Linked DNA regions of Rattus norvegicus. The protein of the gene in region 2 purifies or fractionates together with the protein of the main gene of each other region. This does not show direct contact. Links are inferred from orthologs where the notes say so. Each region holds a gene or a part of one and is shown on either strand. Other genes may lie near its edges.

Region 1 (4,349 bases), on a different chromosome or scaffold from region 2:
GGACCAAGGTAAGACTGTGGCTATCTTTGCCTCTCACTGACAGCATTCTAGGGGCAGCAGAGGTTTTTTTTTTTTTTTTTTTTTTTGTTTGTTTGTTTGTTTTGAAACAGGACGGACAGTGTCACACATGTCTGTCTATTAAAGATATTCCTAACTGCAGTAGAAGGAACAGCCTGTTAGGAAGAAGCTGCACACAGACAAGCAGAAATGGACCACAGAAATGAATAGTACATCCTAGGCTGACTGAAGGTCAGGAACAGCTTAAGGGGATATAGAATTCCTCACATCTGATGAGACTCAAAGGAAAAGGCCTGTTTTCCGTGAAGTTGATTTGGGGTTCAAGTCCTACTGCTGGTCCTCAGCCAGACCCTTACCTTGGAGGTTCTAGATTCCCTGAGCCTCCTTTGAATAGTGATTCTGATACTTTCCCTGTCACCTGCCTTGATTCTGTCTAATATACACTGCAACTAAAAACCCTTTCAAGGTTTCGGATTCAGCTATGTAGTAAATGCTTGTCTACCATGCTGAAGCCCTGGAATCGAACCTCAGTATATAAAGTAATGCCAGGTGAGAGAAAACTTGGAGAAACCACTCCACTGCTAAAACTCCACTGATTTCTACCCTTAGTGTACAGAAAACTTACTAACTTTTCAAGCTCTGCGCTCCAAGCTCCTAATCCCGCATTCCTATTAGGACACACTGTGATACGGTGAGTTACTGCCCGGGAGCTTCTCAACATTTTTCTAAATCTCAGGTACGCTCTTCTCCACACCAACTTCTCACCAATTATGTTTTAAGGTCAGTTTTTTGGAGAGTTTCCGGATCTTCAGATCATGACTAACTCTCTCACCATCCTGATAAACGACAGCATTTCAGGCTCTCCCTCTACCCAACACGACCCCGGGAGGATCGACTTTGCCTCCTTAAAACTCTTCAAATAGCCCGGTGCAGGGCCGCTCACCTTGACTGGCGGGGCAGTCGCCGCCTGAACCTGTGTTGTCACGGGCCGGAGGCCAACGATGGCTGGGGCCGCCTCGACCCATTCGGGCTCCTCAAACATACCGGTGGCCGGCAGGGTTGGAGGAGTCTACGCTCTGGCCCACGTGTAGCGCGCGTCCGAGAATCCTAGGACTGGAGCCAGACCAAACTCGGCCGGAAGCCACCGAGAGAAATTCTGTGGTGGCTAGAGCGGCCCGCGCGGAGCAGAGCACCATCGAGTGTAACCGCTCCTGAGCTAGAGAGGCAGTAGGAGGTCGGAAGGGAGGGACCGCGGCCCGCGCTGGCTGGAGAGGGCCGGGCCGGGCCGGGCCGGGGCGGGGCCGGGCGGCGGGCGCGGCCGGACGGGAGTTCCCCGGAGAAGCCGCCTGCGACCCGAGTCCCGGTGAGTGCGGGTAGTTCCGCGCCCTGTTCCATGCTGGTCTTGCAAACCTGTCTCTGCGATCTCTACAGTAGCTCTGAGCCGGGGCCGCCGGGCAAGGACCCCTTTCCCCTCCCCCGGGTGTTTGCAGCTTTGGGCCCCTCCCCTCCCCCCAAGCCGTGTTCTAGGGCCGTGACTCGGAGCCCGCTGACGCCAACTCAGGAAACTAGCAAAGTCTACCCTATACCTCCAGATCCCCCTGCTCCTCGAGCCCAGGGGTCGTCCGCTGCCCGAAGCCCTTCACAGACAACCACTGTCCCTTTCGCGACGCTCCCCATCCCAGCACTGACACCTCTGTCCTGAGGGAACAGAGATAGAGTCATTCTCTTGTCTCTGTTCTCCCGCAGTTCCCCGAGACTTCCCCAGTCCCGGGGTCTCTGTGCCGGGACGCTGCTATGGACGACATTTTCACTCAGTGCCGGGAGGGCAACGCGGTGGCGGTGCGCTTGTGGCTGGACAACACAGAGAACGACCTAAATCAGGGGTGAGCTGAAGCATTGGCGAGTGAGAGGACTGCTAGAAGTCCGCTCTCCGCTACTTGGGGTGCTCATGTCGGGCGGAGACAGCTAACTTTGTTATCCAGTGTGATGAGGAGTATTAGAAAGCAAAGTCTGTTGATGGAGGAGGGTTTACAGAGAGGAAGCTGTGTCTGGGTTTTTTGTTTTTACTAAGTTTCACAATCGGTTCCCGAGGACTTTGCAGCCTCTGTGAACTCATGTCAAAGGCAGACCAGAGTGCCAGAAAATTGGAATTACATGTGGTTGGAGGATGAGTTTCTGCGCCCTAGAGCATTGGATAGAAGTGGAAAAGGACATTAGAGATCTAAAGTTCTGAAGCTGTGTAGTGATGAGACTACCCATTTGTCAGGTGTCACCGTGGATGCAATTGCCTTAAAGTGATGTTTTGGATACAAGAATTGAGACAGGGTTAGTGGTGAGAGCCCTAAAGTCATAAGAATGAAGTAGTTGAGTTGGTATGGGAAGTGAAGGAGGAAGTCAAAGATGACCTGGGGTTTAGGTTTGGGAACTTGGACACTTGGCAGTTGCCGATGCTCCATTTTGGACTGACTACAGTTTGGTGACACTACAATAACTTGGAAATGCTTGACAGGTTGTTGTTCGTGCAGATTTTAAGTTCGAGAGAGGTCTGATTGGGATACCAAGATACCATAAATTAGCGTTTAAATGATACCTGAAGATTCTATAAGGTGAAAAATAGTACCTCAGAAGAGGAGTAAAATAAAGGCAGAGGTCGAGAAGGCTGGCTGACTGACAGGGAACAACCATCTGAAGGAGAAATAAGAAATGGACTAAGATTAGAGAATGGATGTTTTAATGGAAGAAGAGTGGTTAATTATAGGCCACTGAGAAGTTAAAGAACATAAGTGAGCATTTTAAGTCTTCATTTAGTTTCCATTTAGGATGTATTTGGTCTTTGAATGGTATTGCAGAAAGTAACAGGAAACTGCATTACACTGGGTTCCTTCAAATAAGAACTCCTTGAGGGATTGGGAATGTAGCTCAGTGGTAGAGCATTTACATAGCAAGTGCAAGGCCTTGGGTTTGGTCCTCAGCTCCGGGGGCGGGGGGGGGGGGGGGAATCCTTGCATAAGACCTCATCTATTCCCTATAGATGGCAGGCTTCTGTCAGGGAAAAAAGTGAATGGAAAGTGAGGAAACAGATAATGTGAACACTTTCTACAATGCTGGCTGATATAAGAAAGCAAGAAATGCAGTGTTGGAAGAGTTTAGTAGGTAGTTTTGGTTTGCTTTTGGAGACAGCCTGTCATGTAGTTCAGAATGGCCTCCAGCTCTCCTTCCTCCTGCGTCAGTCAGCCTTCTGAGTGCTGGGATTTCCATTTGTTGCAACTGTATTTGACTATAAGAGGATTGTTTTAGGTTGGAAAGGATCATCTGTCATCCTAGGCCAGGTTTCACCAGCTTCCATTAGGGTGAATACTGTTTCTCTGTTATATTCAAAGTTACTTGTTTCATTTTTTTTTACATTAACTTGTGCGCTCTGTAAACACTAAGCTGTCTGTCCTATTTTGTTGGTAAGAAAATAGAAGTTTAGGCTGTTGTCCAGTGGGAGTGGCATCTGGAAGAATCCTTGTTGTCAAAAGGTGAAGGGTATCATTAGGGAAACCAGAAAGCTTTGGTGGCTTGAAGGGAAAGGGCAGTGCTGGAGGTGGTTAACTCCCTGCAGGCATTCTTCAGATAGAAATCCAGGCCCTCAGGTGACAGTGGGCAAAACATTTGCATTTGTTCTCAAGCTTAAGCTTCCTCTGAGGCCACAGACTTCTGGAAGTTGTTTGGTCAGAATACATGAAGTCTGGGAGAGAAGACTGATAGGATAGCAATGGATATACTCACATCCTCAGAAAGCTTTTGCCGAGTTTGTATTAACTGATGAGGGCAGACTAGAGGGACAATTTTTTTTTTTTTTTTTTGGATCTTTTTTTCGGAGCTGGGCAATTATTTAAAGCTACATATCTCCTTCAACTGTTGGGGGATTCTGGGTGACCAAGCCAGGATCAACTCAAGGCCCCTCCTCCAGCCCCCTCACAGGAAGTGACCACAGCACTAAAGCATCTGGAGGCTGCAGGCCTAGACCACAGACCGCCCCCTGTTCCGCCCCTCAGATCTGCATCCCAGGGCTGGAGGGAATTTCCTTTTATGGCTCCAGGCTGTCAGTTTGACCCAGCCCATACAGTTGTTTTGTTTGTACACTTCTCTTTATAAAATATATGTCCTTAGGGGATGAAAATAAAACTCAGATATATTTTTTATTCAAAAGCTTCAATTTATATTTTCCTCTGTGAATTTTGGTTGGTAAGTAGGAACATCCGGGTTTGTGTGGTTATCTGCCTCTTCAGTAATCAAAAGCATGTTTGTTGTTGTACCCCTTCAAAATATTTTAATTCCATTCCATT
Region 2 (3,975 bases):
TAGGCACAGCAATGGGCAGTAAAGACAGCACAGGAGAGAAACATGTCCTTGTCTCACAGACCACTGAGAGTGTATTTCGCCTTACCTGTTTTTGTTGATTGGTCTCAAAGTACCCCCACAAGACTTGTGCTTGGGTTTATGTTCATCTCCACACACCGCTGCTGGTGAGGGGAGGAGCTGCTCACTGCGGATGCTTAGTGACTGGTGGTTGACTGGCTCTGCCAGGGTAGTCTCCATCTCGGGTGTGGTATAGATTGTGTGCGTTTGTACAAGTTCCTTGGCATTGGCCTCTTAGGAGAATGCTTTGCTGTGAACAGAGTTCTCTCTCGACACACTGGGGCTTTTCTCCCTCTTCTCTCTCAGCCCTTGTCTAGCAGACGCTGGCACGAGTCACAGTTTTGTTTAGTGCAAGGATGCTGCTTTCCAAAATCCTCTGGCAGGATCTCCTAGAGATTTGTTTTTCTCTTCCTTCCTAATTTAGAAACAGTCTTCAAAGGAAAAGAAGAAGGAAAAAAAAACCTGACAAATTGATGTGAGAGGAAACGAACTCTGATTTAATTTTGTATTTGTTTCACGGTAAGGTCCACAGATTGTCATCTACAATCAATAACATTAGAGGAGGTAAAAAAAAAATTAGGGGGGAGAGAAATAATAAAACACATGGCACACCCCAAGACTAGGTTATTTTTTTTTTATTTTAGTCAAGAAGAGAAGTGTGACATAAATTCAAGATTTTATTGAAATCATTTGGATGTTAAATGAACATAATAGCTTGGCGGTGAGGGAAGATTTTTAATAAGGCACAATAATGAGTTATACGAATAAACAGAAAGAATGAAAAGTGTTAACTGTGACATTTAAGTGGTTACATGATTTTAATTATTCTTTTGATAATAAGCAGTCTTGTGACGTTTATTCAAGGAACTGAAACCAGTGCCTCCCATGGAATTTGCAGGAGAATGAGAGCTTTGTTTTCTGCCTTCGGTAATTTAAAAAAAAAAAAAGAAGAAACAAATGAGCAGGAATGTAAGACTTTATAAAAAGTGCACCCCTCCACAAGAAAGGTGCAAAAGGGAGGCTGCGTTCAAGCACCAGGAGGAGAAAGGGAAAAGAATTTTCTTTCAAAAAAAAAAAAAAGAAAGAAAGAAAGAAAAAGAAAAAGAAGAGAAAAGTAGGCACCAGCACGCTGTTGTTTGTTTGTGGGACAGAGCAAGGATGGCCAGAAGAGCTAAAGCTTCAAGGAGGCCAGAAACCAGTGTGTGTGTGTGTGTGTGTGTGCTCCTCATTTGTTCTTGGCTGCAAGGGGTTTCCGGCTGATCTTTTTGGATTTGTCGTTATTCTTCTTTGGGGGTTCTGGGTTGGCTTGCATGTGTCTGCCGTAGAGGCTAAAAAGAGAGAGAGAGAGAGAGAGAGAGATGGGGGATAGTCATGAGCTCTGTTTACTAGTCTAAGTTTCCTAAGGACGAACTCTAAATATTCAGAAACGTTTGACAAGCCCAAAAGAGTTCTATTGATTCTGCCCCATCCACTCCAAGACTTGACAGTTTTACACATGCAAGCACAGACGTGTACTTATGTGTATACAGCCTGTATGGCAGTGTTCTATTGTGGACAAGGGTCTTGGTATTTTACCCTTCCTGGGCAGGGTGAGGGAAGACAGGATCTTCGGGACTGCTGAGAACAGGTTATGTACACCAAGCCCTTTCGGAGTTGCATTCTAAAAACCGTAGTGTTTTAAGTCTACAAGGACAAAAGATCCCCGGACGGAGAGACACTATCCATTTCATTAGAAGTGAGCGCCAATGCTCAGCCCGAGAGCCCAGGGGCTAGTTAATGTGACACAGAGCGGTGGTGTTGGAGATCGTGCTGGCTGCTCATGTGTGATTGATGGTGCAGGGATGGCCACCACACATCAATGCCACATTAATAAGTACCACTGATTAAATGTTGACAAAGTGCCCCACAATTACAGTGGATGGTATCCATCGTGCAAAGGATTTAACTGAGCGGTGGATAGTAATTAATCCATAATTTATGAGTGATTCTGATTAAACAGAATTAAAGCCACCCTAAAATAAATAGAGCTCAGCCTTAACTCCCTTTATTGACACAACTGTGTTTTCCAGAGTCCCATGCACATCTCAGCCCTCAGTATCTTTGGAGGAAAGGACTGGCCTCATTCCAGTCATTGCTTCTGCTATTGACTAATGGAACCAAGAGTCAGCCAAGAGACCTGCTTCTCTGTGTAAGGAGCCACTGGTTCTAATACCCACTCAAGGAGTCATCCATTCATTTACAGTTTGTCTCTGTGTATATTTACGAACTATTTTATGTACTGTATGCTGCTAAGGAAGGAGTCAAGGGCCACCAGACTCGAGGCAAGTGCCATACCTCGGAACGACACCCATTCCTCCTGGTTTTTAATGCTAACACTGTATGTCTATGCACTATGTGTAGAGCACAAGGATGCGCTTGATTGGCATCAAGACTATGGCTGACGGGCTGAGGGGAGGGCCTGGCAAACGGAGCTGTCCTCTGGGTAGGCAGCAAGCCAGGCACGAGTGTTTCAGTAGGTAACATGATGCTCTCTCTTTTGTTGCCTCCCAAGTGTCAGTTTAGAAACTGGTTGTTCCAACAGTGGCGAGGGAGAGGTCTGCCCTTACAGAACAGAGAATTCATAGGCGCTCATAGGAGATAGGAGATGGCGCCCAGAGCCAGGTGCAGGGACGAATCTCCAGGTAAAATGGAGTCATTTGCTTGTGTACAGGTTACAAGGGAACTTACAGAGGGATAGGCTTGGGCTCTTACAATTAGAAGCTCCAGAAGTTTGTGCTGACATAATGGTTAGGCTAGCCTGGACACCTGGGGTCCTGTAACCCAGTAGGAACTAATGATTTCATGGAGCACGAAACACATCCAATCTTAGTTCTGTCACCCAATTCCCATGTTGTCAATATCGCTGCCTATGTATTGCCTTGCCAGCATCTCTCCCAGAGACAAACATGAAGGACCTTGAACCAAAGCAGAGCTGTCTACCCTTCTCCTCACTTTAATCTGCACATTCGGAAACACGCTGTTCTACCAAATGGCCTTTGAAATCTCTTCTCCAGTGGCTGTTTTACCGGAGGCCACACATTTCATGCTCAGGGGCTCCAGGCTTCCCCAGAGGCCCCTTTTCTCTGAGGTCCTCTCATCTGGCACACAGCCAACATCTGACTTTGTTCTGCGTGTTCACAGGGCACCCCTGATCTCAGGATGGGTGGGTACACAGCTTTCTTATGCTTTTCCTTTGTCTTACAACCTCTTATCCCCACACAGGAAAAAGGAATATACTCGCTTGAATGCAAGACAACACCAGATTCGACTGATTATCCAAACCAGCGGAAACAAGACAGTTCATTCATAAGTGTTCTGGTTTTAAATGCAAAATTTCCTCAAAGGCTGTGTTTGAACACTTGATCTTTAGACAGTGGCACTGGGTTTTGGGGGGTGGGGAGGAGGGATGTCTACGGAACCATTGAGGCATGGGGCCCAGCTGGAAGACGTAAGCCATTGAGAGGAGATCTTTAGAATTATGGCCTGGGTTAGCATCTGGTCCCACTCTGCTTCCTTATCATCAAAATGTGAGCCAACCATGGCACAAGCTTTCGACGCTATGCCTTTCGCATCACGATGGACTGACATTTCCTGAAATCAAGAGACATAATGAATCCTTCCTTCTTTAAATTGTGTCTGTCAGGTATTCTGTCATAGCAATGAGAGAGGCTAACTAATATATATCACATGGAATTGCAGAACTAGTACAGTATCAGGAAAGGCGTGTCAACAACGAGAGGCCATGGAGGGTTAAAGAGAGCTCAAGTCGAGCCAGGACTTGACTGGCGTGGCCTGAATGAGGTGAGCCACATGGGCAAGCAGGACGTTCCCTAGGGGAGTGGGATCCGGAAAAGTCAGTTCTGAAAGAGAAGCAAAGCT

Evidence for each region.
Region 1: the proteins of Rsu1 (region 2) and Ilk purify together in Homo sapiens (affinity purification with mass spectrometry; 9 studies listed by BioGRID and IntAct, counting the BioPlex papers as one, with this or other methods). This does not show direct contact. The link is inferred for Rattus norvegicus from reciprocal best matches to the Homo sapiens genes RSU1 and ILK.

The regions. Positions count from the first base shown.
Region 1 is NC_086019.1:169,499,355-169,503,703, forward strand, and holds the start of Ilk (integrin-linked protein kinase), read left to right. Parts: upstream 1-1,366; 5' UTR 1,367-1,381; exon of another isoform or gene 1,382-1,472; intron 1,473-1,764; 5' UTR 1,765-1,812; coding exon 1,813-1,901; intron 1,902-4,349. Other genes in the region: Rrp8 (ribosomal RNA-processing protein 8), read right to left, coding at 962-1,060. UniProt on the Homo sapiens protein: Scaffold protein which mediates protein-protein interactions during a range of cellular events including focal adhesion assembly, cell adhesion and cell migration.
Region 2 is NC_086035.1:81,097,192-81,101,166, forward strand, and holds the end of Rsu1 (ras suppressor protein 1), read right to left. Parts: exon of another isoform or gene 1,386-3,975; coding exon 1,283-1,385; 3' UTR 676-1,282; downstream 1-675. UniProt on the Homo sapiens protein: Potentially plays a role in the Ras signal transduction pathway. Capable of suppressing v-Ras transformation in vitro.